Daphnia pulex: one gene and its partner. The protein of the gene in region 1 interacts with the protein of each later gene in a pairwise test. Links are inferred from orthologs where the notes say so. Each region holds a gene or a part of one and is shown on either strand. Other genes may lie near its edges. The genes, in order: ubiquitin-protein ligase E3A-like and tyrosine aminotransferase-like.

Region 1 (15,248 bases):
GCCTACCGACACACTCGTTGAGCAGATAGTCTGCGTAGAGTTCGACAAACTCACGTCGGTTTTCAAGGTTCACATTGCAACTTGCGCCATTTTCCTAATTTCCAATAAAAATAGACTTTAGCAAATAAATTTTTCACAAGCCAAATAAAATTGAAATACCTTCAAGTCATGATTGTAAACGACTCCAAACACATCTTTGTAAGATATGCTAAACGTTTGCATAAGTGTTTCTTCAATGTCAGAATCCGGGTATTCCAGAAGTTCTGTCAGACCTTTTCACGCAAAAATACAAAACTTTTAAATATAAACTTAGACTTGTTTAGAGGAAAATTAGACTTACCTTTCCAAAGAGTTGGATCGAGTTCTTGAAGGTCTTCGAATGTCCCTTTACGACCAAGAAGCTTACGATAGACAACCATAGGAAAGTGAATGTCTAGAATGATCGTGTTGTAAATAGCCAATCCGAGCATGATGCCAATCAACGTAAATTGGGCGTCACTTTCAAACGACGTAGGGTTGAACCAGAAATTGCGAGTGTCGGAGTTGAAGGCAAACATGGCGTAGTCGGGATTGAAAACTTGGTCGATGACTAACTGAAAAAACTCTTTCGACAGACCACCTTCATCAATGCCTTGCTCGCCTTCAAATTCCACCACCAATTGCTTCTTGAGATCCGAAGGATTCTCCATGGCTACCTGTTAAGTAAGTAATTAGTCAATAAGGACGTTTCCTAATTAGATCCCTGATTGAAACTTACCATTTCCAAACCAATAAGGGCATCGTCGATGACATGATCACGTCGAATTTTCAACTAGTGAAATAGGGATAGAAAAAAGTAAGTTTAGTTAGAATCTTTTTAAGAAATAGAAAACCTCTATTGGATAAATACCTTTAGATATGGATTACTTGGTTGTCCGTTCATGACGCTGTTGAAAATACTTTGACGACGTTCGCTATACATTCTGATACGGTTATCATAATAGAGACCGAGGGCTTTGGCGGCCGGTGTAAGAATGAATGGGAAGTTCATGAAACTAATCTTCAATGCATTGTTGGAAGCCGAAGGAGGGGCTTCGGAGGCAGCGGCAAAGTAGGCAAAATCACGATCCATCTCAACAACATCACTTAGCGGTTCGTTGTAGAAGTCAGCAAAAGCGACCGGAGGTTGTCGACAGTCAAGAACGTTGACTCCAAGTTCCGACATAAGTGGATCATTCTTTCTTGTCTATTTAGCAAAGTAAAAAATGGATCAAAACAAATTTTGTTTCGAAATGTCAGTCAAAGCTTACCTTGTTTTGCTTGGAACCCAACCTAGGGGAAGGATCGATTCCAAACGAAAAGACATCGAAGGAATCTTTAGAAGGATCGTCTGTTTCCATCGCGTCAACTGATGCACCAGTCAACTTACTGCTAGGTGTGGTACAAGAAAATATGTTGACGCAGTACAGTATTCGCATCACCTGTTAGACAAATTGGAAAATCAACGAATAAGAGGGGTAAGCATTGCAAAACAATATTTAAACCACTATACCTTGACACAAGCAGTAATAGTATTGTCATCATTGATGGCATAGTCTCGCCCAAAATCTCCTGATAACACTCTAAAACTAATGAGCTGTTGAAGTGTTTGGACCAGATTTCTTAGATTGGGGACACTGTGAGCCGCCCAAAATCGGACTAGAGTGGCTTGTTGGGTTAGAGGTAAAAGAGCGCAGGCGCGGCATAAGGTCGGCAAAACACTTTCAAAGTAGTCACCAGTGCCAAGCCACGGTAGTTCGAAAACAATGACGAAGACGTTGAGCAAATTGACTTCAGCTTTTTGCCTCCCGAATTTCATATCCAGTTCAATAGTTTCGCATAGAAGAATGAGGGCGTGAACTAAGGCGCTTTCGTAGTTTTGTGGCTCGATGGAGCTCAAGACTTCGAATGATCGGCGGACGCAACAGATATCAACGCTGACTTCTTGGCCAACGTCCTGGAGACGAGGTTCTGCGACGGCTTCTTGGCTGTCTTTATCTTTATCCAAATCCACCTCCATCGAGCGAAGTTGTTCTTTACTTAGCTGGCCATGTCCTAATGTAGATGTACATGAGTTGTTTCCTTGCGTAATAAAACTCTTCCCCAACAGCTCAGGATTGGCAAAGACATGTCCCAATGTGTGAACTAGCTTTGAATAGATTCCATATTCTTTGCAATTGTCAACGATCTGCTTAAAATTTGTTTCTGTCAACTTGGTTGGTTTGGAAATGCCTGATTTGTCATTTGCAGGATGGCCAGACACACTCAGAGCTGGAGGAACCCACAATCCCTGCTTCAAATTGGAAATCTAGCCTGATTAATGAGACTACTGAAATGAAACAATTGGTTAAATACTTTGAGCAATTGCTGATCAGAGATGGCACTAGTACTAGCAGGTGTAATTTCAGGAAACAATGTGCTCGGTAGTTCATTCTTGCCAGTGCCAACACAAAGCCTTCCTTTGCGGGCAAATAAATCCAGAGCCTATGCAATATAATCAATCAATGACTGGCTTCTTCTAAAATTATTTTTTATGTTGATACCTGAGCAGCAGCTTGGTTTGGAGAAAGATTTTGAACTTTTTTACTAGAGGCACAATGTTCATTGTTACAGTTTTGGTCACCACATCCTTCAGTCAGCTGGAAATAATAACGTTTGATTAACTGACGAGCTGCAACACGCTTGTCCAGTGTTTGACTGTCCCCAGCACTACCATGTCAAAAACAAACATTAGTATTGGTTACATCTAAATATTAAAATTGCCAAATACCTCAAGATATTGCCACCATCATTTTTACCATTTTCAGCCATGTTGCAATTACTTTTGGCTTAATGATTATAATTTACGTCAATGAAATCAATCGGAAGGCCGTGAGTAGTTGATAAACTTCAAGCGACCGAAAGAAAAAGGGACACAGATGACTAGCATAATGGAATTCGAGCCATTATCTGCTTACAACTTTGTACGATTCCTGATTTGGGAAAACGCGTTTTGATTGAAATTACGTTGACCAGTGGAACGTAAATAGCTCAAAACCTGCAATTAATATTGAAAACGAATTCTCGTTATTCGGGCAAATATGGCAAAAAAAATTAGCTATTTCGTTTACGCAGAGAAATTCTTTGACAACACTTCGCGCACTGAATGTGCTGCTCGACAAAAGCCCTCTATGATCGGATAGTAAAACTAAAACCTTGTGCAACTAATTTTTATTTAATTAATTTTTTGGGGGGTTCCTATGTTTAACAAAAATTCATGAGGTCTATCTTGTTTAGACTTCAGAACCTAAAGACAATTCTAACGCTCAAAGATCCGGATTAAAATTACTAGTAGTTCGTGTGATATTTTGGAATTAATTAAGACCGCCGCAGACAACTCGAATTTCGATACCTGTCGTTGAGGTGAAACAAAATGAATTTCAAACGGGGTTTTTTCGAGAAGGATCATATTTCAGACATTTCTTTATGGAGAAGCGAAAAGAATAGGCCAGAATTTCGATTTATCTATGCTGATTTATGTGTATTGTATCCCAAGTTTACCTAGTAGTTATATAAAATTAACACGCTCATCATCTAAAAGGCTGTGAGTCTGTGACCCACACAGATTTGCAGACAGTGAAACATAAATAAGAAAAATCTCCAAAAGAACTTGTTTCTTCAATGGTTGTTTACGTAGAAAAGATGACCTTTTAATGTTTTCAGACGACGGATGCAACAGCGGCTGGGTAAGTTTCGATACTGCATTTGTTAACACCCCGCTGCATTAAAATGTAGCCCGAGCTTCCCCATCCGGATCCCCATGAGTTACGAACAATCCAGTAATCAACTCCAGAAAGATTACCCCATCCTACGACAACCACACCGTGATTCACGCCCTTATTGTCGCACGCCGCATCAGTGTAAACGCCGCTCCTATTTTACAAATTGAATTGGAGAAACAGAATTTAGATGAATAACAAATTCTCATCCGACATCACAGATAATTAATAGGCTAAATAAATATTTAACAAAAAAAGTGTTTCTTTTTTTGGAAATATAGTTACTTATAAGAGTAAAAGGAGTTGATGACGGTGATAGCCACTGAAAGGGGACCGTATCTCACGAGAGCCGCTTGCATTGAGGATGGTGATTTGGATGTAACGCTACCGTACGTAGCGACTTTCGAACCAATCGTGGACGTGGAAAACTTGCAAGTTCCTTTCTGTAGATAATAAAAAGGTATAGGAAGATTTTTTCAATTAAAAAAAAAACAAACAAATCAATTACTTACAACAGCAGTGTAAGAATAGGCCGACTGTCTCGCTGATCCACTCTTTAGATATTCCCAAGCGGTTGTATACCATCCGCCGTTACAACCACCATTGTTAGGGTCGCAGTCGACCAGTTGTTGTTCGCTAATAGTGAAAATAGTTAACTATTTGAGCAAAATGTCATTTTTCAGCGATTATAAAGATTCCTGTATCGAAACGAACCTTTCTTCGCACACCACACTGACACGAAAAATGACTCAAATATATTGCTCCAAATGATAATTACCTCAAAATAACTTTTGCACCACTCTTTTTGCATTGAGCGAACTCAAGCGGCGCTATGGCAGTGAAAGCCCAACAGCTTCCGCACTGTAAATATTTTAAAAAGAAGTGAATAGTTACGAAACCAGTTTTGTTAATAATGATGGTTATCGATTGTAGAAATTACCGATCCTTGATTTTTAACTGGCGCCAAACAGGTGTTAGTTCTATAGTCCAACTGAAATGATGTAATACATTTTGATTCAATATATATGATTATAGATATAAAACGGATTTGGAAAAAAGAAATAATTACGGAAGTTGGTATCTGGCGCATAGAATCATCCAACTGCTGATCGGCAATCAGAAATCTCGAACCTGATGGAGCAACTGCCCCAGTGTAAAGTTTTTTCTCTGCTTCATCCTATTTTTTAAAAGATTGATGAACTAATAATTTCCCATTTTTTTTTAATTAAAAATATGTAACAATAACAAACCATGACAGAGAAATCATTGTGTTCTAGTTGGTATGCGGCATTCTTGTTCTTATTGTGCTTCTGGATCATTTCGTGTGTCTTAACAAAGTTTCCTTTGCGCTTTGCAGCGTCAGTGTGGGATTTGGTGTTACTCGGATGATGAGCCTTTAAATTAAGAAACAATTTGCCATGCAATAATACAGTCCCAAATCATGGCCATTATGTTTTTATCTCGGTTTTTATACCTGATATTGTTCCCATGCAGCTTCTACATCATCAGAAAGTCCCTGGACGTGAACAATACAGAAAATTGCAACTAAAGCCAATGCAACATAGCCCATTTTCGCCATTCTTATCATGTAAAGGAGTAAAAAAGTGTGCAATTCAGAAATAGACAACAGTGAAAACAATTATTTCATCTATTAACTAAAATGTTTAGTATAAAAACCAATTGTGTGCTGGTTTTAGTCCAACTTACCTTTGAAGCTTCAGTGAAAAGTAGAGATGATGACTCGATTGAACGACGAAGTACGAAGTACCTTTTGTAACTGGAATCGATCAGTTTATATACTGATATCGCGTTGACTTAAATGGTGGAAAGCAGTTGTTAATTTACTCAGCATCAGTCTATTGCGCACAGCCATATGCTACAGAATCTAGAGCACGTACGCATTCTGCTTTGGTGAACAACAGCTAACTCATTTAGTCTCATAAAAACATGCCAATATTTACTATAGCCACGAAAGCGTTCAGCCAGTATATATGACTACAATAAATCAATAGCAATCTATCTATAAAGTAAATAAACGACTATCGACACTGAATCCTATTTCACTGATGTTCTCGGATATTCTAACTGGCACACACACTCAGTTGGCACACATGGGCAGAAAGCCGAGTTGACAGACATATGTCAATTAATGACGCTTACCCAGCATTAACCCCATTAACTACTACACAAATATAGCTGCACACAATCCATCTCCCAAAATCGGTTCACCAGGTTGTTGCAGTGAAGATATCATGCTCCGGGTCACAGAATACAAAAAAAAAATGACAATTGAAGTCAGTCAGATAGGCCTAAGCGTGATTCAATATTTTAAATTTTAAATGGTAACGTGCGATTATTGTGTATGTAATTTTAGTGTAACGTTATTGTCATTACGAAATAGGATAGCAGCACTCGTTTTGGACTCGAATCGGTATAGCCAGTGGAAAAGGTAGCCAGAGTCTCCATGCCTCGAATATATACCGATAACACGTTTCTGAAAACAACACCTGATTACAGTGAATGCCTATATTGATACAGATATTTTAACAGTTGTCACAAGTGGGCAGAAACAAATATGTAGTATGCCAATAATACTACTATACTCGATTCAACTCGATTCAACTAACAAAAAGTGAATTAATAAAGCTTTCTACTGTGAAATCTAGACTAGTGATTTTATTTCAACACCGCGTTTATTAATGCTTTATGAAGAACTCAAAATTCCTTAATGTAATGTTTGTGATGTATAGGCTATATAGGCTCCGATAGGCTCCTATATTATTTGTTCTGGGCTCGGTTCCGGGGTCGTTGAATGCTGAGCGACTGAGCGTAGGTTTGTTTATTGAGAAATTCCAAATAAAGATTCACGGTTAATACCATGATCAAGTTGGTCGAAAACTTTCTAAACTCGTTTATTATAAATAACTTGAACAATTTCCGCCATTGCTCTGTTAATTGATATAAGTGATTAGTGCTATATGACTGGTTATGTAAGCTCTACGGAGGAAAGTATAAATATTCAACTATGCTAACCCAACTTGAAAATAAGTCCCCGTTGGAAGGAAACTGCTCAATGCCTATTTCATTCTTTAATTAGTCCAAATAAGGTCCTTTCAGATGTAGTGTGAACATTTCATTTATTCGAGTATTTATTCCGATGGACCTGTTTTTTCTTTGCCCTTGACAACTAATTTGCACAAGATCACATAGCAACCGTCTTTATCAGCTGTGGGAATCACTGGGAATAATATGTATAGCTATATCTGCTTTAGAACTCCTCCTGACTTTATAGGAACGCGCTATACTTATAAAACTAACACGAGATATTGGTAACGTCTAATCTGTTATTCGCAATGATCGCCCGCTGCTGTGTAATTACGTCGCCAATGTGCACGGCAAATTGGCTATCAGATATTCTCTTCGTCCTTCTGTATATATTCTAAATTATAATTAAATGTGTGTTGTCCAGGGCTGGTCGTTAGCATTCATCGTGAGTTCGTGACCGCGGAAGACAGAAAACCGGTCTTCGAAACATGGAGCCAACTCAAACGCCCTTGAGACTAGAACATCACCAAAACATCTCAGATAGCAAGGTTAGAGGTAAAATTTGAATAACTAATATTCGCTAATATTTTAAGAATAATTAAATTAAAGTAAAATTTGAAACGGATAAAAGTTCCACATGACAAGAATGAATTAGCAATTTGGCACTGCTGTGCGTAGGCCTATAAGATGGATCACATATTTCGTAATTCCATAGATTCAAATCTTGGCACAAACATGCGCTAATTGAATTGAAGATCAAGGTGAATTATTGTTTCGAACATCGTTTCCATCATGCAAGGCTATGCTGACGACCGTTATATTTTTAGCCCATTAATCGCCATTAATTCGAATCTTTTTATAATCGGTTGTTGCTTGACGACAGGCAAACATTTCTTTCTCAATGCAACAACATTAAGTCCCGGCCAATAAGAAGTTGACGGAAAAAATAGACCACGCCTTGTTTCTTGTAGTTTTGGGTATAAATAGTGAACTTTTTTTTCATTATTTCATCATTCGAATCTTCTTCCTGCTTATCATCTTCTTTATTAGCACCAGATAATAGCACTGAGAAGAGAAAATGACCGCGAAATGCTGCTTGGTTACCATCTTTCCCCTGCTGGTAAGTTTGATGATCATTTAACTATATTGCCTATTTATTTAACTATTATTTATCTATACATATGCAATTATACAACGTATTATAGATGACAATAACGAATCTTAAACTTTTACTGTTATACCATTTTTAACTGTTAACCATGTAAATACTAATGCAACTGTTAATTTATATATTGAATTAGATCGCAGCTGTTTGGCTGGCAACTGCAACCTCCACCGGCAGAGAGCCGAAACAGTTGTTGTTTCCTACTCCTTTTTACCGCGTTCAACCCGTGATGGAATCTCGTTTTGGACCTGGTCCCCGTCAGTCGAATTCGCCAATTAATCCCATGATCGGTGAGCTGTTAAGGCTATTTTTTAAATAAATTTCACCATCGTACACTGAACGAATGAACGTGATCCCGTGATCCCCATGTAACATTCATTTGTATTTAAATAACACGTTAAACTGTATCGTCGTCTTTACAGGACAACAAGGTTTGGGACCGTTTTTCGGTTATTTCCCGAATCTTCTGACTCAGCCGTGCCCGGCTTGTGCTGCTTGTGATGTATGCCCCAACTGCACGGTCTGTCCAGAAGTAATTCCACCTCCTCCAGCCGGAGCTATTACTAGTAAGTTCTTAATTGATGATATAGCATACCTACAATCTGTTTTTTACGTATGTTTTTTTACTTTGAAAATTTGTTCATCTAAATATTATTTTCTATATGCTGATTTTCGGTTTCCTTTTATATTATTACAACGTTTTATTAATATTCAGCTTGCGGCGAAGGACCAGACTCAGTGGCGTCAGCATCTCCCAACGGAACCATCTCCGTTAGCGTAACAGCAACAAAAAGCAGCATCGTTTGCGCGTACGCTTTGGTCGCTTATTACCCCAAAACCAATGTCCAGCTTACATGCACCTCGTTGGGGGAAAGCACCACGCTCTCCGTATGACATCTAGTTATTTAAAAAAAAACACAACAATGTTAACTATTTCATGCAAAAAAAAATTGCCTTTTTATTTTGCAGGTGATTCCCCTTGTTACGCCAGTTACAGTGGGTGCGGCCAACACACCTTACACTTCAAAGGGGAACTTTCTGGTGTTCAATTTCAATAACAATTTGGGCACCGACAAAGATCTCACAGCCGAATGCGTTTGGGAAAACGTACCACAGGCATAAAAACCCGAAGATTGTCTGAAAGCTCTCTGGCACTGTATCTTCATTACATGTCACGTTTACGTAACTTTGATTTATGGACACTGCAATAATTCGTGTATCATTATCGTTGCGTACTTTGAATTTTCTTTTATAATGTAACCATGAAATAACCCCTTTAACGCTCAATACTGGATTGGACAATAATATAATTTATAGCAGCAGGATACATTTGTGTTCACGATCATTTTCTCTTATAAATCGGCAATCTAATTATGTATTAGCCTTGCTTCGTCAACTTGATGTATACTACAAACAATTTATCTATGAAATTTTTAAAAAGTAGCTTTTGACCTCCGAGTGGGATAGTGATATGGGATAAAGAACTGGCACTATCAATCGACTGTAAATAGGATCACTAAACGAGACCAAACTTTCTTTCCCCATAATTTACCGTCACCAGCAGCAATTTAGTATGAAACGACGCACTGTAAAACACAACTGAATACCATCACCAATGTATGTAGATGGATGCATAAATAGTCTTTTCTTAGCAGCTATATAGCTGCCCAAGCTCAAAAAAACTTTCAAAAAGTCGCAGAATTTGTATAAATGTTCGTCCACATTGTTAACCTTCACACATCTCGCTCTCTATACAACATAAATATTATTCTATTAATATAATTGCACGAAATTTAGCCGATTCAAACTGTATGACTATAGAACACCCATAGAAAAGAAGTTGGTCCGAAAAGTCAAATTCATTAAAATTTAGATTTGAAGCTACCTGCGTTAGTAAGAGCAAGGCACCTGTGAGAAGAGCTGTGATTTTTGTTTCATTTTTAAAATCCAATATCGTGTTTCGCCTATGACGTTCATAACTCGCGCCGAAAAAAAATAATCCAAGTAGTCAATCTCGCTTTCCGTACACGGAAGTTCGTCTGCATTCTAATGTGCCAAAGTTTTCAGGCACTCCACAGCACAGTTGAGGCTGTCGTAATTATAAACCATGACCATATTGCTGCAAATTTTTCATCATTATTGAATTGTTTGATTATACATAGTGAACATTTGGCTAATGAGTCCGTTCACGCCAATGTTTCCTTTTGTTTCTCGATTGCCTAACATGTCTTACCCATGGGTTTTCCGTAACCCCATGTAAACGTGGATGAGACAAAGCAGTCAAATTGAGGAAAATGTTGGAAACAAAACAGCCCATGTGCATTAGATTTTACGTCTCCCTTATTACCCCAAAAATTCAGTGCTACAAGAAGATTGTGTGCTGTGTCTGGGTCAAAATCACTAATAATCTCCACAGCATGTCACAACGGCAAGGCTTTTCAAGTACAGTGTGACTGTAGAATATAAGTCACCTCTGCTCTGGAAGAATCCGATGACAAAAAAAGTACTTAACAAAGTAAGAAGAATTCCAACCTATAGTCTACATTGGGATTGTCCTGGATTACTTTTCCAGGTTCACCAGCGAAGAAAGTTAAGATTGATAACATTTGATCTCTTCATTCATCATGTTCTACAGCCAGTCTCTTACTACTACGTGAAAAGCAAGATTATTGAGCAAGACCAAGTAAGACATTAGCAACTTGTGACTAAGTGTTAAAGTTAAAATAATTCTCTTTTCAGACTCTAGAATCTGCAGGTCACGACCGACATCGGCGAGAATGCTGTAAAACGCATCTTTGCCGATAAAACGGACATTTGGGGAAAACAATTGGCTCTGGTGATGAATTACTTGCAGTGAAGGAATCTAATATCTGACACTAATGAAGCCCCCATCAAATGAACTGTCGCTGCAGGTTTAACAAAAATGAAATTCAAAAGCCCCTTCATCACGAATTATACCATATGAGGTAAAGAAACCTTTTTACTCCCACGATACAGTTGACAGACGAGTATGGGGTGCATTAAATCATCCAAACATTTTCGGGAATTCGAAGAACTAGGTACTAGGTGGGTGACGGAGAACCAAATGCCACCGCCAGCTGGTATTCCCTGGGTCTTTTACGTTTCGTCCCGACTGGCTGTGAATGCAGGTGGAGCTGAAATGGCCATCTTTGCTCTTGCTCTTCTTACTTCCGGCGAAGGAGATCAGACGCGATTGAGCAACATGCTCCGCCATCCAGCCAAACATCCAAAGGTAAAAAAGGTGCATTTTATTTATTTTTCTTTTTTGTTCCCCGTCGTTAAAAACAAAGGAAATATTTGGAGGGCCTTAAAATCTTAGATCCCCTGTTTATTTTATTTATTAACTTACTACCCAGCACATTGCTCTTCTTCTAGAAATGGAAATGCAGAGTTCTATTTTGGATGTTGAGGTCAGTGCTTAGAACCTTGAGCTATAGGCGCTTTCCATTCTGTCGAGCGTACAAAAAACCTGTATCGCCAGCGCATACATTAAAAGATGTAATGACTTGTCCTTGTACATAGACACGCCTTTCTCAAAGGGATATCCCCGGTAAATGAATATGTTCTTCGTGGAATAATTGGTAGGAGTCGCCGATCATCACCAGATGTACTGATAGCCAGTTAAACGTTAAGTTACGATCTTGCGAATTGTTATATTATTGCGATGTTGTATTAAAAGTAATTTTCTATCCCCAATTCTAGATTCTTTGTTGTCCAAGTTTGTTATGAATTCGCTCTAGGTCAGTGACTCATCCTGATGCACAAGTTTAATTTACTATTGATCAAAATCAATAGAAAATATGTGATAATATTTTATAGCTATTTTAACTCTGCGTTTATTTTGCGACGAACTTTACATTTGTTATTTAAATATTTGTGATAGGGGATAGGCTACTATATTATTTGTTCAGGGGTCGTTGACTGAGCGTAGGTTTCTATATTGAGAAGCGCCTAATCAAGACTCGCCTTTAATATCTATGGTCAAGTTGGTTGAAAACTTTCCAAACTACGGAAGGCAGCAATGTTATTGTGAGCTCATCAAGGACGCCGTTTCAAACTTGTTGCTCAACAGCCGTCATTGTTGCCTCTGATAATTGATATGCCATGATTGGCTATACGTAGGAAAGTATTCAACTATGTTAACCCAACTAAAAGATAAGTTTCCGTTGATGAGGAAACTGCTCAATTCTCATTCTTTAATTAGTCCAAATACGGCCAGAGACGAGACAAGTATTTAGCCGAGTAATTTATTCTGATTCTTTGCCCTTGACAACATTTCACATAAGATGGCATAGCGACAGTGGGAACGAGTTGGAATAATTTGGCTATCACCTTTAGAACTAAACACTAACACTCACGACTTTTACAGGAATGCGCTCAATCTAATACAGGATTCTTTTGACAGCAGCTCTAACCTGTTATTCGGAATGAACGTCACACTTTGCCGTGTAATTATATCAATCCTAGCGCCAACATGCACGGCAAAGTGGCAATCAGGTATTTATAAATTCGTCCTTGCATATTATTAATTGTATTAACAATTTTTGTCGCCCAAGTCGTCTGTTGAGTTAACTAAAATATTTTGTTACCGGTCATTCGATCCGTAGGAACGCTTAAATTAAAAGAACACTGATCCCCAGTTATTAAAAACAGGTATTCTAAAATTAAACTTGTCTGTGAACGAAGGTTACGGCAGAAAAGGCATGCAGGGCTGACCAGAAGCGTTCATCGTGAGGAGTTCGTGACCGCGGGAGACAGAAAACCGGTCTTCAAAACATGGAGCCAACCCCAAATGGGCCTTCAGACGAGAACATTACCAAAACATCTCAGATAGCAAGGTTACAGAGAACGATTGGAGAAGGTAAGAAATGTTGAGAAAGTAATGAAAATCTGAATGCATTTATTTTAAGAATAATTCAGTATAAAAGTAATATTCAAAAGTTCCACATCAGGAGGAAAGTGGATTAGCCATTAAAATAACCGCCGGCACTGCACGGCGGTGGATCAGATATTTCGTAATGCCAGCCATTTCAAATCTTGCACAAATAGCCTTATGCGCCAATTGAATTTAAAATCACGGTATCTATTCACGGCTTGCATAGCTGAGCATTATTCACTTAATGTATGTCCTCGATCGCTCCTTGACGACAGGAAACATGGCTTCCTCAATGAAATAATGTTATGCCCGAACAAGAAGTTGACGGAAAATAGAAATAGATTTTTAGTATAAATAGACCACTCTTCAACATTATTGCATCATTCGAAAATCTGCTTCCTGCTTATCAACTTCGTTGTCACCAGTTATAGCACTGAGAAATTCGATGCGCTAATTGAATTGAAGATCAAGGTGAATTATTGTTTTGAACATCGTTTCCAACATGCAAGGCTATGCTGACGAGCGTTATATTTTTAGCCCATTAATCGCCATTAATTCGAATCTTTTTATAATCGGTTGTTGGTTTGACGACAGGCAAACATTTTTTTCTCAATGCAACAACATTAAGTCCCGGCCAATAAGAAGTTGACGGAAAAAATAGACCACGCCTTGTTTCTTGTAGTTTTGGGTATAAATAGTGAACTTTTTTTTTCATTATTTCATCATTCGAATCTTCTTCCTGCCTATCATCTTCTTTAGCACCAGATAATAGCACTGAGAAGAGAAAATGACCGCGAAATGCTGCTTGGTTACCTTCTTTCCCCTGCTGGTAAGTGTGTTGATCATTTGTCTAGTTATTTATAACCTATGCATATGCTATCATACAACGTATTAGAGAAAGACAATAACGAATCTTAAACTTTTACTGTTGTATCAAAAACTGTAATCCATTTCATGTCAACCAAATCATTGCTTACTAAAAATGTAACTGTGATCATTTATGTTCAATTAGATTGCAGCTGTTTGGCTGGCCTCAGCAACTGCCACCTCCACCGGCAGAGAGCCGAAACAGTTGTTGTTTCCTACTCCTTTTTACCGCGTTCAACCCGTGATGGAATCTCGTTTTGGACCTGGTCCCCGTCAATCGAATTCGCCAATTAATCCCATGATCGGTGAGCTGTTAAGGCTATTTTTTAAATATATTTCACCATCGTACACTGAACGAATGAACGTGATCCCGTGATCCCCATGTAACATTCATTTGTATTTAAATAACACGTTAAATTGTATCGTCGTCTTTACAGGACAACAAGGTTTGGGACCGTTTTTCGGTTATTTTCCCAATCTTCTGACTCAGCCGTGCCCAGATTGTGCTGCTTGTGCTGTTTGCCCCAACTGCACGGTCTGTCCAGAAGCAATTCCACTGCCTCCAGCTGAAACTCTAAATAGTAAGTTTCAATCACGATATTTATTAGCGCAGAGTTTGCTAATTATAATAATATACTTTTACTTTTTTCCCGATTTGTCTATTCTTCAAGTCCTCATCATTCAAGCATGATTTTCCCTGGGTTAATTTCTTTTCTTTTTGCAACTTTTTAATATTCAGCTTGCGGCACAGGACCACTCTCAGTCCTATCAGCAGCTCCTAATGGAACCATCTCATTAAGCGTCAAATCAACAACGCCGAGCTGGAGCGTTTGTGAATTCGGTTTGGCCGCTTACCACCCGAATACCTCAATTCAGCTAACATGCACTACGTTGGGAACCGGCACAGGATTCAAAGTAAGTGGCGTAAATCATGAAAAAACAACACTACTTTTGTACATGTAAATAATTGTTTTTTATTCAGACATATCCTCTTGCCAGTCCACTTCCGGAATATGGTTCAGCCAACACACCCTATGTTTCAAAGGGGAGCTTTTTGCTCGTGGGTGTGACTAACGCCATTGACGCCACTAAAGATCTCACAGCCGAATGTAAATGGGAAACAGTGCAGAACAAATAACGTGAATTTAAAAGTTGGTGAAAAAGGACTGAAACTTTATCTTCAGTTGTAAGGTTTACGCACATAACTTTGTACAATGAACACTATGCAATATTCTTGTATCGTTATCGTTGCATAGTTCGACTATTTATTGCAATATGTAGCCTGTAGCGTCAAATTCGCGATTTTCCCAATTTTATGACGGTTCTTTCAGCCCGAGCATTTAATAAAGACATGCAAAAACAAATCTGTGTCATCATCGTGCTGTTACATTTAAGATTTAAAAGTATAATTGTTTCAGCCGGTTTCAGCTGGAGGCGGTGGAATTAATTCTGGAGAGACTGTTAAGTTGGGGCACACAGCGCAAGCAGCACATCGAAA
Region 2 (15,237 bases), on another chromosome or scaffold:
AAGTAAAGGGAAACTTTTTTTGAAATTCGTGTTGACGTCGCTTGCGAGTTTTAAATATATTTGAACCCGCGGACGGTCGGGCCCTGCCGACGAGAAGAGAAATGGTGCGCAAGGAGGAGATAGTCGTTTGGTTCTCGCGTCAGCCCAGCCACCAACGGTTGGATGTCCTCTGCACTTTGGCCTCTATCTGTCTACCGCTCGAGCTACGGTTTCTCAACACATGCGTTGATTTCCTGGCCAGGAATAAAACACCATCAGCCAGAGATGCAGAAATCCTTGCAGCATTGGAAAAAAACTGCCTGCAGTTGAATGAAGTTGACTTGCATGATGAGGGATCCCGCAGGAAGCTCATCTTGGCTCTCACTCTGCTCCATGCTGGTAACAGGATTGTAGCCCACACCATTTACAGGATTCTGTGCAGCACCTGCTCTGACTTGAAAATGTTTGGTCCAGACATCACCTTCGAGTCCAGTTTGGAGTTAAATCTGATTTTTACTATGGCACTACATCACCCTAGTTTCACTTTTGAAGAGAAGGTTAAACTGGGAGATATCTACCTATGCATGCAATCTCGCTTACCTGGGCTCAGGCCAACCTCTGACAGTGTCTCTCCTGTCCCTACATCAACTCCTAGCCCGCAGCCTCAAAGCAGCCCCCCAGATATCTCAGAACGATCTCTCAACAATGGATCCAACAGCAGCAGCAGTAGCAGCAGCAGCAGCCACAACAGTACCAATAGCAATAGTAGAATCAAGACTGGTCAGAATGATCGGTCAACGATTCGTCGCAATCGAAACAGCCCCAAGTCAAACGGATCTGCCAATGTGGATTCTGTCACCACCCAGTTGAAGGAGCAATTGGGTAAAGACCGTCTGCCCAAACATTGGAGACAATTTGAGCACCTGAATTCTACCGAGCTTATAAACTGCAGCGACCAGGAATTTCTCAGTTGTGGACTTAGCCCGAATTTCATCAGTCACTTGCGTAAGGTGCTGAATCAGTGCCACCACAAGTCGAACGGCGGTCTAGCAATACCCAACGAAGAGACCAAAGTGGTTCAGCAAGTCAACAACAGCAAATCTACAGCGTCGACAGCAGCAACGCGGCCGAGTTTGGTCAAAACCTGCATGGGCCCACCCAACGTCCAGCCAGCCTTCAACAACAGTCAGCGAATTGCGACAACACCGATCGAGAACCAACCATCACAACATCAGCAACATTATCAGCAGCAGCAGCAACAACAACAACATCAGCATTATCAACAGCAGCAACATCATCACCAACAACAACAGAATCACCAACAGCAGCTGCAGCAAGATTCATTAACTAATCGAGCAGGATCATCATCGAGCAGTGGTAGCAGTAGTTTGGAAACGTGCAGCCCTCCGAGCAGCCCGACAGATTCGAGTAGCACTGCCCCTAGAGATAATCATCGAAAACACTATCCAGTTCCCCAGACTGTGATGGTGCTCAATCCAGGTATTCTGAACATCTCGATTCAAGTCATATCTCACAATCATGTTAGTTTATTGTAAAACAGGAACCAGACCACAGACTCGTCTGCCCAATTCGGGGACGGTGGCCAATGCTTCGCTGCGCGGTGCCAATAACATTGGTTTCCCAAGACCGATGGGCGCGACCAACACTAATGCTGGTGGTCCGATGCGACAGCAGCAGCAGCAACAGCAGCAAATCTCAACGACGGCTAGCAGAGGAGCTTCGCAGCCGAGAGAAATGTCTTTCCCCGTCAGTCTTTCTTATGCTGTGCAACCCGCTCAACAGCAACAGAAGCAGGTCGTCCAACCTTCTTCAACCCAAGTGCAGGGCACGTCTTTCATTGTCGATAGCAGCACGCCCCCGCCTCACTTGGAAGCCCAGGCAGCTGGGGTAGCCCAACAACAAACACAGCAGCCGGCACAGTCTCCTGCTCCAACTCTGTCAGTCTACTCGTACCAATATCTACATTTGCCTAATGGTAAATTACTTGAAAATAGTTGAAATAACGAAGCGAAGAAGAGCTGTGGCTCATTTCTGTCAAAATACTTCATTTTTATATCAACTACTAGGAGACGGAACTCAACCTTTTCCGCAGCATCCGTTCACTTTTATTACTTCGGGACCGCCGCCAAACTCTGCCGGACTTCCCGGCAATACGCGGGCACCAGGTCCACACGACATGATCTATTCGCCCCAATCCTATGTGGGTCAAATCGTCGCTCAACCTCTTGGTTCTCATCACGGTATGCAAAATAAAGTTTCGTCCTCTGTCAAGTCTTTTGTTGATGTAAAAATGTCGTTTTGGACTCTTATAGGATCGAGTGCTGCAAATGGTCGCCCGTCTCTGATGGAAATACCGTACTTACCACCGTTATTCATGGCTCGCTCTGACCAAGGTGGGGCCACGGATTATAGCCGACCACCACCCCCTGGTTCTCAATCCTCTGCTGGCGGTCCTAGCCCAATTCCGGGCAATAACTCTTGTTTTAACTGCGGTGCGTCTGGCCATCGTGGAACTCAGTGCCAACAAATTACTTTTGATGAAATAATTAATCCCTCGCCCGTTTGAGGGCAAGTTTCACATTATCAAACACACATACACAACACATACACAACACATAATCTGGTCATGACAAGTGGGCCAAAATGGTGGTGAACTTCTAAAAGTCGACAGATAGATCCCACCCTTTCAAATGATCCTTTCTGTTTCTTTTCCTTTTTTTTTTACAATTATTATTGATGGATTTATTTAAATTTTTTTTTTCCTTCTGAATATTTGCTGTTCCAGAGAATCTTCAAAGAGAAGGCAACTTGGATGCAGCTTGAGCTTAGGCATTTTTGGATGAAGATTGCTTCGCCCCTAGTTCAAGGATCGTTGCCAAATCGATTCGCTTTTATGAACTTTATTTTCATTTTTTTTTTCTTTTCATTCACAAAGTCATTACTGATGCATTGAAACGTCATCATTCAAAACAAACAAAAAGCTTCTCACGCTGCTCTAGTTTCGTTTCTCTCCCGTGTAATTCCACAACCCACACATGCAGCGAATGTTTGTTTTTTTCTGCTGCATTTAAACAACAATTTGTAAATAACATTATTTAAAAGGAAACAAAAAAATTATATTTAAAAGGATGATTAATAGGGAAAAAGCCCAATTCTCAATCCGACTTCCCCACACACGAAAGCCAGCGTTGTATCGTTTTCAGCTCCTACTACCATCCTCTTACTACCCTATCCCCCTTGCGTGTCATCAAAAAGCAAAAAAAAATTTTATATCTTTTTTTTTCAGAAATGTTCAAGAGTGTTTTTTAGGTCTGTCAAATTTAAATAAAAATAAATACACGGAAGTTTAGTCTTAAAAAATTGTATTGGGTTTTGTTTTCTTATTTTAGGCTTGTAACATTACTTAGTCTGTAACGTTACATAATCGGCAAGAATTTGTATATAATAGTAGCTATTAACTTTTTGTCAAAACCTTAAAAATCTTCCGAAACTTTAAATCGTTGAATATCGCACCTTATAAAATAGAAATACGTTTGCGTCCAGGTGATCCACTGGTGAATGGATGGGAGAGTTGTATGTTGTACCGGGTGAAAGTGGACGGCAAAAATTTCCGTTTCTGCACGAACCGATGCAAAAACGCCTACTAGTAGAAGACTACTGATAAAAATATTCCAAAATCAAATCTGTTTTTTTCTCGTTAAGGTGTCAAGGCTCTATGATTGTGACAATTCCATTGTGCAGCTCGTGGTGAATGTGGTTGTTGGACATTGCTTCTTCTTTTCCCAGGTTGATGGGCGCCACAAAATGGGACGTGCAAAATTGGCCAATACGGTGGCAAGCTTCACGCAGTTGTAGCTCGGGTACCGTTAAGACGATGCGGAAATAGTTGGGGTAATCGAAGCACTGAATAACATAAAATTATCAAATCAAGTTGTAGAAAAAGAATTAAAAGTAATTACTCGTCCGGGAAGACAGAAGACAGATTGTTCCGTAACCATCCGTTCCACGAATTGCAAGTCGTTTTCAAACTCGGGGAAATTGGTCATGTCTACACCAACCTAAAAAATAAAAACCCGATGATAAATAAAAGTCCTTATTTAGACTCGTTTTGATGGTGTTTACCATCATGTACATTGCCCCGGAAGGCATGATTGGTTTCATTCCAGGCAAGCCAGACAGTAGTTGATGTGCCAGTTGGGCGTTATCCTGTTATAGGTCATACGAGAGCATTAGATAACCCAGAATAAAATATTTGGATAAGCAAAGATCATTCTTACGTAAACTTGTGCGATGGTTGACTGGAAAAACTCGGGTGGTGTTTGCGTCAGAATTCGACTAAGGGCACCTTGCAGGACGGTGCTACTGCCGATAATTCTCTGACTAAGGCTCTGCAACCCTTTCCTAACCTGATGACGGCGCAATTTAATTTCATAATTCATTCAAACAGAAATTAAGAAATACCTCTTGTGATAGTGCTTCGTTCCTGTCGTGCACAACAATCCAGCCCATTCTCCAGCCAGGTATAAGATACCTATTCAATACACACAGTAATTGTTAAAAATGTTCAACTTTCAACAAATGGCTGACTAGAAATAGATTGAAATGAAACCTTTTAGTCAATCCTCCGCAAGTGAGAATGGGAACTTCATTCGTTAACGAAGCAACCGGATGAAACTCGTGTCCCGGAAATACCTAAAAAGAAATAAAATAAAATTTAAAGAACGTTACAAAATTTAAACTAATTCAATTACAAAGTAGTCGTAGATTTCATCTGCAATAATGGGAACAAAATTGCGAGCTGCAATTTGAAGAATGGCACTCAAATGTTCACGGCTGTACACGGATCCGCATGGATTAGATGGATTGTTGAGCACGATAGCCGCCGTTTGGTCATCAATTTGTGCTTCCAGTTGCTCCAGGTCGACTTCCCAACCATTTTCCGGCTGTAAAACAAGGAAAGTTAATAATACATTCATGCCTACAGATGATAATGACCCTGACCTTCAAATCGTAAAATTTGGTTCGGATGCCCAATCCTTCCGCCAACGTTCTATACAGTGGAAATCCGGGACGAGGCACAAGAATATTTTGTCCCGGGTTGGCCAATACAGAAATGCACAGATCAAGGGCACAAGAGCAGCCAGAGCATAAAATTATGTCCTAATAGGCAAAAATAGTTTCCATCAAAACGGAGAGCGATACATTTTAAAAATAAAACATTCAAATGTTTTACCTTAGCCTCAACAGCGGCTCCAGGTACGGAGACATAAGACGCCACAACTTTGCGAGATTCTTCATAGCCTGTGGACCATAGATAGAAAGAGAAGGTTGTTATCTAAATGAGATCATGGGGAAAAACAAATGGAAAGACGAGAAAGTTCTGTCAGATGATTGGCTGAACCCTCGTCAGTCCCTTCAAAATGTAACAAGCATCATTTGTTGTTTTGACCTGATGACCCCAATCGATTGCCTGACCCCATACCTTCGACTGTTGCCAATCAAGTCGAAAAGAGAGCAGTTTTCAGAAAATGAATGACTGAATTCAACCTAGCCTAACCTTAACGAAATTAGGAGGCCAATCGAAGCCTCCAAGGCATTGTAACAACTCACCAGTGCTGGGAGCATAGCCGTTGTATTTCATGGAGCGAACACTCTCGACGACGGCCTCGACAATTTCCTCCGACGGGCACAGATTTCCAAATATCGTCGGATCACCTACCAACGCAAAAATTGAAATATGCAGAAAATTGTAAACAACGACGAAACCGGTCTAAAATAGGACAAGAGATCATAGAGTTGAAAATATTTTGCGCAGTTCACAAGTAACACCTGGAGCGAAATTGCATAATTACTCTCACTACAACACCAGTAAACCTAAATTTGAAGATTCCTTACCAGAGGGCAAGCTGACTTGGGCAAGGGCAAATAAAATATACGAAAAAGAAGCAAAATAAACGTATTTTTAACGTAAGTACATAGTCATCAGTGAAAGAAAAGGGGGAGGATCTCACCTTGATCTTCGTTACAAAAATTTTTTGAAAGAAAATTTGCATGGATTTTGGCGTAATGCCACAGCTGTTTGATAAAAAGTGCCGCCAAGCCGGCGGCATCTTTCTTTTAATTCTTAAAAAAAATACAGTTTTACATCCCCAGAAGGCGAATGTTTCAAAAACAACTGCGCAATAGTCAGAAAAATGTGCCAAAAAGAAATTAAAGTCTAATTTTGCTTACCAATAGACAAGGCAATCATAGGTTTCTCGGGATTGGGCGTCAATTTCATCGATTCCACCACAGTCCGGATTGGGTTGAAGGTGTTTCTGGCAAGGTCAGACGCTGTCACAGACCAACTTCGTCGCGATTTCATGGTGACGGATGCAAAACTAAAACACCTGGAGCTAACTGAAAGAAAAAATGACACGTCACTTGAATTAATTTTAAAAATTTTCCAGGTTGTTAATAGATAATCAACCTTAAAACAGAGATTTGAACGCGCACAAAAAGTGGTGCAGACCGACGATCAAGAGCGAGTATACACAAGCGACACGATACCCGATTGCTATATACTACCGAAAAGGTGGTAAACGTTTTTTACGAATGGGGTCTGGCTGAGAATCCAGTCGGAGATTGGTGGAACGGTAGACTTTACCTGCTCTCATTGGTCCATTCATTATGGGCTTGCCCGTGTAGTTCCTTGGGGGCCGTGGTCAGCTTTTTTTCTCTCTCTCCCGCGGGGCCTCTAAAAATATGCCCTAACCTTTTGGTCTATCTCGTTCACCTGTGTATCTAGACAACAAAAAGGCAGAGAATGAAAAATATATAATAGAAAGACCTTCGAATTCCAAAATTTGTATACTACGTTTGATGATTTCCGATTGGAAATGTCTACGATGTTTTAAGTTGCTTTTTTTATCAGAGTTAACTGACAAGTTTGAAAACAAAATAACTGTAACTGTGATTTTTTAATGGTCCGTTCAACTCTGTAATGGTTGATACAACTGCCGAGCAGTTGACTTGGTGGTTCAACAAAAAGAATTGTAGACGCCTGTAGACGGCAAGTCTTTTGGAATAACGTAATAAAAACAGGTTTTCAATTTCGGAAATGCACATCGTGCTTAGATTCCCCAAATCTGCCTTGAAGAAGCTGCAATATATCAAAATGAGCGCAGATAACCACACATTTTCTCTTGGGGCATTAAATGAGATTTAGAACAGGTGCAAAATGCTGAAATATAGTTCGATCTGAATATTATGTTATGCAACATTAGTGAAAGTCAACTCCCGATGAATTAAAGTTACTTTTAAAAATGTCTTGGAAGAATGTTGAACCAATTTACCATGATTGTTGATAAAACAGAGTAGGTAGATCCTCCATCGGGATGCCCTTGACAGAAGAAAATTACAGGTGGCGAATCTATAACCAGAAATGATCATCTTGACTTTATTTTTCATTGAAGGTCAGAACAATAAAAGCTAAAATATTTTAAAATTATATTTCTTAATAATACTGTTATTTAGAAATTCCCTTATGGTTATGTGGACACTGGCCTTCATAACCGTCACGTAAGCGTGGGATGCCACTACAGTAAAGGGGGGAAAGAATCCAAACAAGAAATTCTTTAAAAAAAAAAAAAACTTCCATGTAAGGTTGAATAAATGAGCTCTCGCTCGCTACTGACATCTTTTAGTATTCTGTTGCCAGGGCCTTTTAGTCTTTATAAATGACGTAACTGGTGATTTGTGTCCTACCTGACATTGCACAAGGTTCCGAAAAGTGGATGAGTACGTCTATGCCTCCAGGAAAAACATGATTTTTTTTTGGCTAGAAATGGGCCTTGAACGAAAAAGGGACCGTTTGCGTAGCTTTGGCATTCGCCTTTTCACATCGTTTCCGATTTTAACAAATTGTATCTTTATGCAAATATCGTCCCCCCAACCTTTACGAAATTTAGATTGTGAATAAATGTCTGACTTTGAGAAACCTGTTGATGTTTTTCTCCGACAGATTTGGTAGTAGTACGAGAAAAACAACTACTACAAGTTTTTCTCACATATTCAGCAATTGTTACAAAATGTTTTAACGAAAACAACACATTCGCCATCGTTCTGTTTTTCACTCTGTTACACGTGATCGGTTGTGTGTACTTTGATTACTTTAAAAAAAGGATAGCGATTGAAAGTTTCTTACCTTATTTTATCATATTTTCTGAATCTAATGGACTGGGACAACACAATTCCTAATAACTTTTTTCCTCCAAGCAAATATTTGGGCACTGCAAAAACAATCGACTATTCTTCAAATATAGTTACAAGGTTTTGATATGGCAATTCCAATAAGTAATAAAACATTGTTAATGTTTTCAACACCTCATCGTGCAGTTCTCGTGAAACATTTTTCAAGCATGCCAATAAGTTGCCTACGCTGCTTATTGTATTACAACAACCCCGTGTGGTCCATTTTTCTGCAACATGCTGCCGCCCAAGGCACAACCCGATTGCCATTATTTAATTTGGAAAATTATCAGAACCGAAGTAGCACAAGTCACTTAAAATATTACGTAATTTCTGCAAAATGATTTCTCATACGCATTTAACAATTTTTTTCCTTCTCTAAAAGTTTTCAAAAAATTTACCTTTTTAATTCGTAGTTTTCGCGCCTTGAAATAAAGAAATTGCAGATGGCGTGCCTGTTGTAGAGAGAGTTGATGAAAAAAGAAAACGGTTGGTTTCGACGTCACTTCCTGCAAGGTCTGCCGAAAAGCTAGGGTTGTCTTTGGTTCTTACAATTTGGACTTTTTCGTTTTAAAACTTAATAATCAAACAATGTCTGGCCGTGGAAAGGGAGGTAAGGAAAATCCACGTTTTTTATTTAACCTTTTTTCTTCTTAATTTTTCCCTGAATACCAAGAACTGTTTGTGTGACTGTATGCCGCTTGTTGTAAAGCACAAAGTCCTTGTTCTTTTATTACTTTAATGTTTAACAAAACAGGTAAAGTAAAGGCTAAGGCCAAGTCTCGCTCGAGCCGTGCTGGACTTCAGTTTCCAGTCGGCCGTATCCATCGTATGCTTCGCAAAGGCAATTATGCTGAACGTGTGGGTGCTGGTGCTCCTGTATACCTGGCTGCCGTGATGGAGTACCTGGCTGCTGAAGTCTTGGAGTTGGCAGGAAATGCTGCAAGAGATAACAAAAAGACCAGGTAGAAACCTTATTTCAATTATGCGTCTGAATATCTTGCTGAATCCAAATGTTCTCTAGGATCATTCCAAGACACTTGCAGTTGGCCATCCGAAATGACGAAGAGTTGAACAAACTGCTTTCAGGAGTTACTATTGCTCAAGGTGGTGTGCTGCCCAACATCCAGGCTGTTCTGCTGCCCAAGAAGACCGAAACTGCCCCAGCAGGAGGTTCCAAGGGGGCTGCTAAAGGAAAGGCCAATTCTCAAGAATATTAATGTATCTGAACTTGGTCCTAAATTCATTTTTCATCTCTAAATGTGTTCCAAACCTCCAGGATTTTTTGAATTTCCATTTTAATTGCTTTCAGTCTTAATACTTTTTGATCAAATTCTCCTGTAAGTCCCTTGTCATCCAGAATAAATAAAAGCGACTCTTGTGCTACATATGAATCAGTGTAATGCAACATTATTGGTATTTAAAAACAATATTACAATTGAAAGATTAAGGAATGCTATTTGTAGCAGTGGCAATGGACCAAGTAACTGGTGCAGAACATAATATATCTGCCAACTTATGTTTAATTGCTAGGAAATGTCTTTTAAAATCAAGTCCACAGCCTCTCGACAATCGAAAGTCGAGTAACACCATGGTCTGCATATCGTAAACCGTTGCTTTGAAGACGAGTTGCATTTTCCGTCGATCTTGCGTGGATATGGTTACCTATGAACGCAAAAAGAACGTTAACATACTACAATATTCTTTAAGCATTTTATTTGTTATACCACGCCAGGAGTGTGAATTTTCCAAGTGTAGCCGAGTTTGATTAGCTGTTGGCTCAAATGTTTGATTGCTTCTTCACAGCTAACTTTTGCCACAAGACGAGTCATTCTCTTGACAAGTCTTTGGAGAGGCGAACTGATGCTTGAACCCGAAGCAGTTTGTGTGTTCAGCTGAGAGTTCAGTAGCATATCGTCGATATGAGCAGGTTGAGAGAAGCTAAACATCGCGCCTGGCAGATGCTTGTTAGGGGCTTGATCATCGTTAGTGTCGTTTTGATGGACAGGTTGAGAACCGGAGAAGAATCCAAGTCCAGGCTGAGAGTAGGACAAATGGGTTGCATCGGATGAGGGCGGTGATAAACCAGCATCCACTACGTCAGAGCATAGGCGTTTAGAGACTGGCATGTTTTCCTCTGTCCGTAGAGATGTACCTTCAATTCAGAGAAGTCGGAAGTTAAGAAAGGCATCAAATAGTAAACAAGGATTTCATACTAGGAACTTTGAATTTCTTCTGAAACCATTGATGATTAGTTATTTGCTGAATAGTGTAACGTTTCCCGGGCAACGGCATCAGCACTTTCCGGAGTAATGACAGAGCCAATGTATCAATCTTGGTCCATGGCAATCGCGTGATCTGACATTCCTTCCAGGATGTGTAGAGAGGGCAATCATTAGATGGGACATCCCAAGGCAATTCTCCGGCTAACATGGCAACAAGAACGACGCCACAAGACCAAATATCGGCTGGCTCTGCTGCGTACTTGCGACAGAGAACCTCAGGAGCGATGTAAGGTAACGTCCCACAACGCTTGTCCAGATGCCTTTCTCGACCTTGAAATCGAAAAACTGTTGCCATTCCAAAATCAGATATTTTCAAATTGTCATTGGCATCCAAAAGCAAGTTTTCCGGCTTTATATCCCTGTGAGCAATCCTATAATAAATATAGAAGAAATGTTGTATGTTCGAGATTCGCGAAAGCGTCTTGGTAAAATAATCTTAAGGGGACATTTGTTTAAAAAATGATGAAAAAACTTGAGTTATGTTATGATAATTACCCTCTGCTATGCAAGTAGCTTACACCAGCAATTAACTGCTTGAAATAGCGCTGAGCTTCTACTTGAGGCATTCCCACATCAGGCTCTGAAATTAGAGTAACAGGTTATCATTGCAGACAGTATTATTTTAAAAATTAATATATTACCAATTCTGTCAAATAATTCTCCACCAGATGCATATTCCAAAAAAATGAATTCAAAATTGCCATTTTCCCTTCTCCCATAAAACCTTATCACGTGCACATCATTCAACATCCGGTGCACACAAACTTCTTTTTTGACTGTTTCAGCAGCATTTGCGTGCTTCTTGAGATCAATCACTTTCATTGCAACTGCTTCACCTGTTTTGGCATTAACTAATAGTTTCACCCTAGAACAAATTTGTTAAATTATATATTTTGCATGATTCTTACAATTTTCTTACTCTCCAAAAGCTCCTTCACCCAGTGTCTGAATCATATCCCAGCCTTCTACAAATTCAATTACACTGTTTTTTCCTTCATATTTTTTACTTTGGTCTTCCATGATTGAATAAATATGTATTGTACAACGAGATTAACTGAAAAGATACAAGCTGTTTTAGACACTTTAAAATGGAATACAAAATATCGCAAAAATACCACTTTTTCCGTTTCTTTTTGGTGTAGGGAAGATCTGCTTTACAAAATTACCACTGACACAGTTTCCAGTCTAGTTTAACAAGTTGCACCAATTCATTTTCCTAATAAAATGTTAAAACAGGTGTAAGCATTTTGACTCGCTAGTTTTCGTCAGCTTGTTGTTTGGCTTCTGTTGTTTGCCGCCCAGTTATGGGGTGCGTTCGTAAAAAGGTGTGGCATGTGCGCCACAACCACGTATGAATTTTCTCAGAATTAAAATCGTAAAATATAAATTACACAATATCAATCAAACTTGAACGTCGTAAAAAATATTAGAAAAGGTACGAATACTCTAAAATTATTAGAAAAATGTTATGACAAGAGTTATGATGAAAAAGGTGAACATATTTATGTCATTTTATTTTTCAGTTTCATGTACGGATACATGAATACGTAATAGGATTCTCCGTTAAATTCCCTACGCAATTAATATAAATTTAGGCAACAATACTCCAATTTTAACTAATCCTTGATGTTAGACACTTAAGCTTGGTCTACACCTGGATTTAGGTGGAGTTAGCGAACTTTGGATATTATTCATTTGAATTCAAATTAAAGACGATTGTATTCCAAAGTGTATTAACTCGGGTCCCTTCTTTCATTTCCCATTTTCACATATCATCATTGCCAGAATCTGAATCATCTTCAAGTGCAGATTTTGCGTATCGCTCAACTTCAGCAAACACCTCCTGAGAGACTTTCTGGTGACGTCCTTGGGTGACAGCACCTACCCAGCTCAGCTCCAGTTCAAAATGTTTATCCTTGACTTCATCATGGACAATGTAAATGCTGCATGTACAAAAAAAAAGCCAATTATTAACCTGAATTAAATAGTTAAAAAAAGAGCTAACATCTTGGCAGCTTCTTTGATGAGTTCTAGACAGGTCATATCCTTAAGCTTGAGCTTTTCCATTTCTGTTTTAGCAGCCTGTCTTGCTTTCCCCATAGCACATCCAAGATATCCCTAAAATATGGACAATTTTGATATTTTTTAGATCATAAACAAAAATTGGTGGAAAAAGTGAGCATACAAAGGAAACTCCAGATGGATCCACCATATAAAGCTGAGGGCCATCAATTTCATCATAAGATCCAAGAGCAACAGAACAACCAAATGGCCTCACAGCAGAATACAGAGTGTAAGCATGCTTGTACATGGCAACACGATCTGCCAGATACTAATTTTTAAAAATATTAAGTTTAGCTGAATGATCAAAATTATCCAATGCTAGAATATACTTTGACAGGAATATTGCCTCCATATTCAGCACGGTAATTTGAAGCTTCTGTCCTGGCAGTTTCCACAATTTGCCTGGAATCAGCTAAAAGGCCAGCAACAGCCTAGAAAAAGCATGAGTTTTTAATTGTAGTTTCATAAAACAGCTTAATTTTCAGGACTTGCCATTCCAATATGAGTGTCAATATTGAATATCCTTCTATTCGCTCCAGCTTCATACAGCTTTGATGTCACCAGCTTTTCCACAGCAAATACAACACCATCTTTGCCTCGCAAGGCAACAGCAGTACTATTGTCAAAAATGACTTATTATTACTGATACGAAGACATTAGACGTAGACTTACCCGCTGTTTTCGACGGCTTTCATGGCATATTCGACTTGGAATACTCTGCCATCAGGAGAGAACTGCGAAGCTGACAAATCGTACTGAAATCACAGATGAGAGTAAGCATCAAGATAGAAGGTTTAAGTCAGTAAATTTGAAATATATTACCCCAGTACCAATAGAACTCATCGTGTCTTTGAGAGAATGACTCGTGAAATCGCTAACTCAGGTATGACAAGCGGTTTCAAGCTGTAGCAGACGACATTACGTTAGCGGTTGGCAGCTTTCATTTGTTTCTGATAGGGAACCGGGCAACGTTTGAATTTTTTTATAATCGACTCACAATTTTCGTTTAATGAAACGGTTGAAATCGTTTGCAATGAAAAGGTTAAATAATTAATTGGTAATTTAGGGAGATTAAGAAAAAAATTGTTAAATAACACTTTTTGAATAGCATAGCACATAGCAGTACAGTTCTATGCTCTGTTGGTCTTCAGTTTGAACTGCTAAAAATTTTTAAAATTATAAACTAGTTTCACTGCCGATTACATGCTTATGATATTAAGCGACGATAACATCTGAACTTTTGTTTGCTTAACAAGAGTTTAACATGAAAATCCAGTCATGTTACATAAGTTTATGCATGCATGCAGTATTTTAATTGTGAAAAAAATAGTTACTAGATAAAGGGAAGTCAAGTGGGATTTTTGTAAACATGTAAGTTTATTTGCATACAAATTTTGACAAAATATTTAACAATTCCATGTAGTTTTAATAGCTCTATGTTGCCGACTGGGAAATTTTCAGAATTTCCCGTTTAACACCTTAAGAACACAAAAAAAAAGATTAATCAATGAAATAGGGATAAAGCTGAATGCGCAGACCTTCGCTTGAGCAAAAACATATTGACGAGGTCCACCTTTCGTTTTGTCGGATCATCTTTTCAAACTCGTAAAGATTTCCTCCAACACCAAAATAGAAATGTTTTGCGGCAACATAACTGGAAAAAATAATAAAGAAACAATGTTAAGCACAAATACAATAATTCTGTGAAAATTAAAGTTACATCAATCCAGATTTCTTCAGGGTTTCCTCAAAAATCCGAATTAATTTTCCATAATTTTCAGGATTGTAAATTGTTTCAGAGGTGAGAATAATATCATATTTATCAAGTTTATGAAGTAGAGGTCCCCAATCACCAGCAAAAAATTTTGCTCTATCCTTAAGGTCTGGATTGTTAAATATCACATTAGGAATTGTACAAAGGGAAAGCACCTCAGCATTCTAAGGACAAATGAAATCCTTTTAAAAAAAGTTACTTAAAAATGTATTTTTTTTAATGACTTACATAATCCTGGAAGTGGACAGATAAGGCTCCCTTGCTCAATGCATACATACCCAACAGGCCTGAACCACAACCAAGATCAAGAACATTCAATCCATCAAACTGAACAAAGTTTTTTTCAAAGTAATCTAGAAGATCAAGTGTGCATTCCCATATCTTCATTCCACCTAAATGATTATTTTAATATAAACTCTTAATGAATACATATTGGTTTAAGGAGTTATTAACCTTCGTATACGCCACTGATGATATCACTATTCATCTGAAAAGCTGCCTTCAGAGATTCAAATTCCCCATTTGACTGTGATGTTATGAGCTCTTCTACATGTTTCACGTCAACAAGATGAAAATTGCGCACTACTGTTGTGGGGGAACAATTGTCACGATACTGTTGAATATTCTGATGATAAATATTTGAAATTTCAATTTCCTTTCCATCAGCTTCTGGAGGACAAGTCTTATGGTTTGTATCGTCAATCGTGTCTTCTGTTTTATCCTGATTATCAGACGACGAGAAATTGAATTTAAACATGTTTTCCACCTGCAAATAGACTTTAGTCAGTAACAGTTTTGCAATGGCAGCATAAAAGATGTATACTACTATCAATTTCTGGTTCAACAGTATAACACGAGCACGAACACGCTACGCTTACAAAAATA

What was found.
Region 2: the proteins of ubiquitin-protein ligase E3A-like (region 1) and tyrosine aminotransferase-like interact in binary tests that used the Homo sapiens proteins (3 or more experiments, as listed by UniProt). The link is inferred for Daphnia pulex from reciprocal best matches to the Homo sapiens genes UBE3A and TAT.

The regions. Positions count from the first base shown.
Region 1 is NC_060025.1:1,159,345-1,174,592, forward strand, and holds the start of ubiquitin-protein ligase E3A-like, read right to left. Parts: upstream 3,207-15,248; 5' UTR 3,129-3,206; exon of another isoform or gene 3,056-3,128; 5' UTR 2,830-3,055; coding exon 2,789-2,829; intron 2,728-2,788; coding exon 2,562-2,727; intron 2,503-2,561; coding exon 2,374-2,502; intron 2,327-2,373; coding exon 1,532-2,326; intron 1,461-1,531; coding exon 1,290-1,460; intron 1,226-1,289; coding exon 890-1,225; intron 812-889; coding exon 758-811; intron 696-757; coding exon 341-695; intron 273-340; coding exon 160-272; intron 95-159; coding exon 1-94. Other genes in the region: crustapain-like, read right to left, coding at 3,717-3,930, 4,062-4,219, 4,289-4,412, 4,555-4,637, 4,717-4,953, 5,027-5,170, 5,251-5,355; uncharacterized protein LOC124202141, read left to right, coding at 7,900-7,941, 13,896-14,055, 14,188-14,331, 14,490-14,665, 14,733-14,888. UniProt on the Homo sapiens protein: E3 ubiquitin-protein ligase which accepts ubiquitin from an E2 ubiquitin-conjugating enzyme in the form of a thioester and transfers it to its substrates.
Region 2 is NC_060028.1:8,537,287-8,552,523, forward strand, and holds tyrosine aminotransferase-like, read right to left. Parts: upstream 8,324-15,237; 5' UTR 8,186-8,323; exon of another isoform or gene 8,177-8,185; intron 7,412-8,176; 5' UTR 7,335-7,411; intron 7,142-7,334; 5' UTR 6,854-7,141; intron 6,784-6,853; 5' UTR 6,669-6,783; coding exon 6,647-6,668; intron 6,629-6,646; exon of another isoform or gene 6,470-6,628; intron 6,400-6,469; coding exon 6,232-6,399; intron 5,716-6,231; coding exon 5,611-5,715; intron 5,302-5,610; coding exon 5,234-5,301; intron 5,161-5,233; coding exon 5,002-5,160; intron 4,944-5,001; coding exon 4,752-4,943; intron 4,693-4,751; coding exon 4,610-4,692; intron 4,532-4,609; coding exon 4,462-4,531; intron 4,407-4,461; coding exon 4,278-4,406; intron 4,207-4,277; coding exon 4,123-4,206; intron 4,059-4,122; coding exon 3,960-4,058; intron 3,904-3,959; coding exon 3,706-3,903; 3' UTR 3,346-3,705; downstream 1-3,345. Other genes in the region: ell-associated factor Eaf-like, read left to right, coding at 102-1,479, 1,526-1,975, 2,067-2,240, 2,313-2,566; histone H2A-like, read left to right, coding at 8,821-8,842, 8,987-9,194, 9,254-9,449; serine/threonine-protein kinase grp-like, read right to left, coding at 9,676-9,894, 9,957-10,384, 10,446-10,885, 11,010-11,094, 11,156-11,379, 11,434-11,534. UniProt on the Homo sapiens protein: Transaminase involved in tyrosine breakdown. Converts tyrosine to p-hydroxyphenylpyruvate. Can catalyze the reverse reaction, using glutamic acid, with 2-oxoglutarate as cosubstrate (in vitro).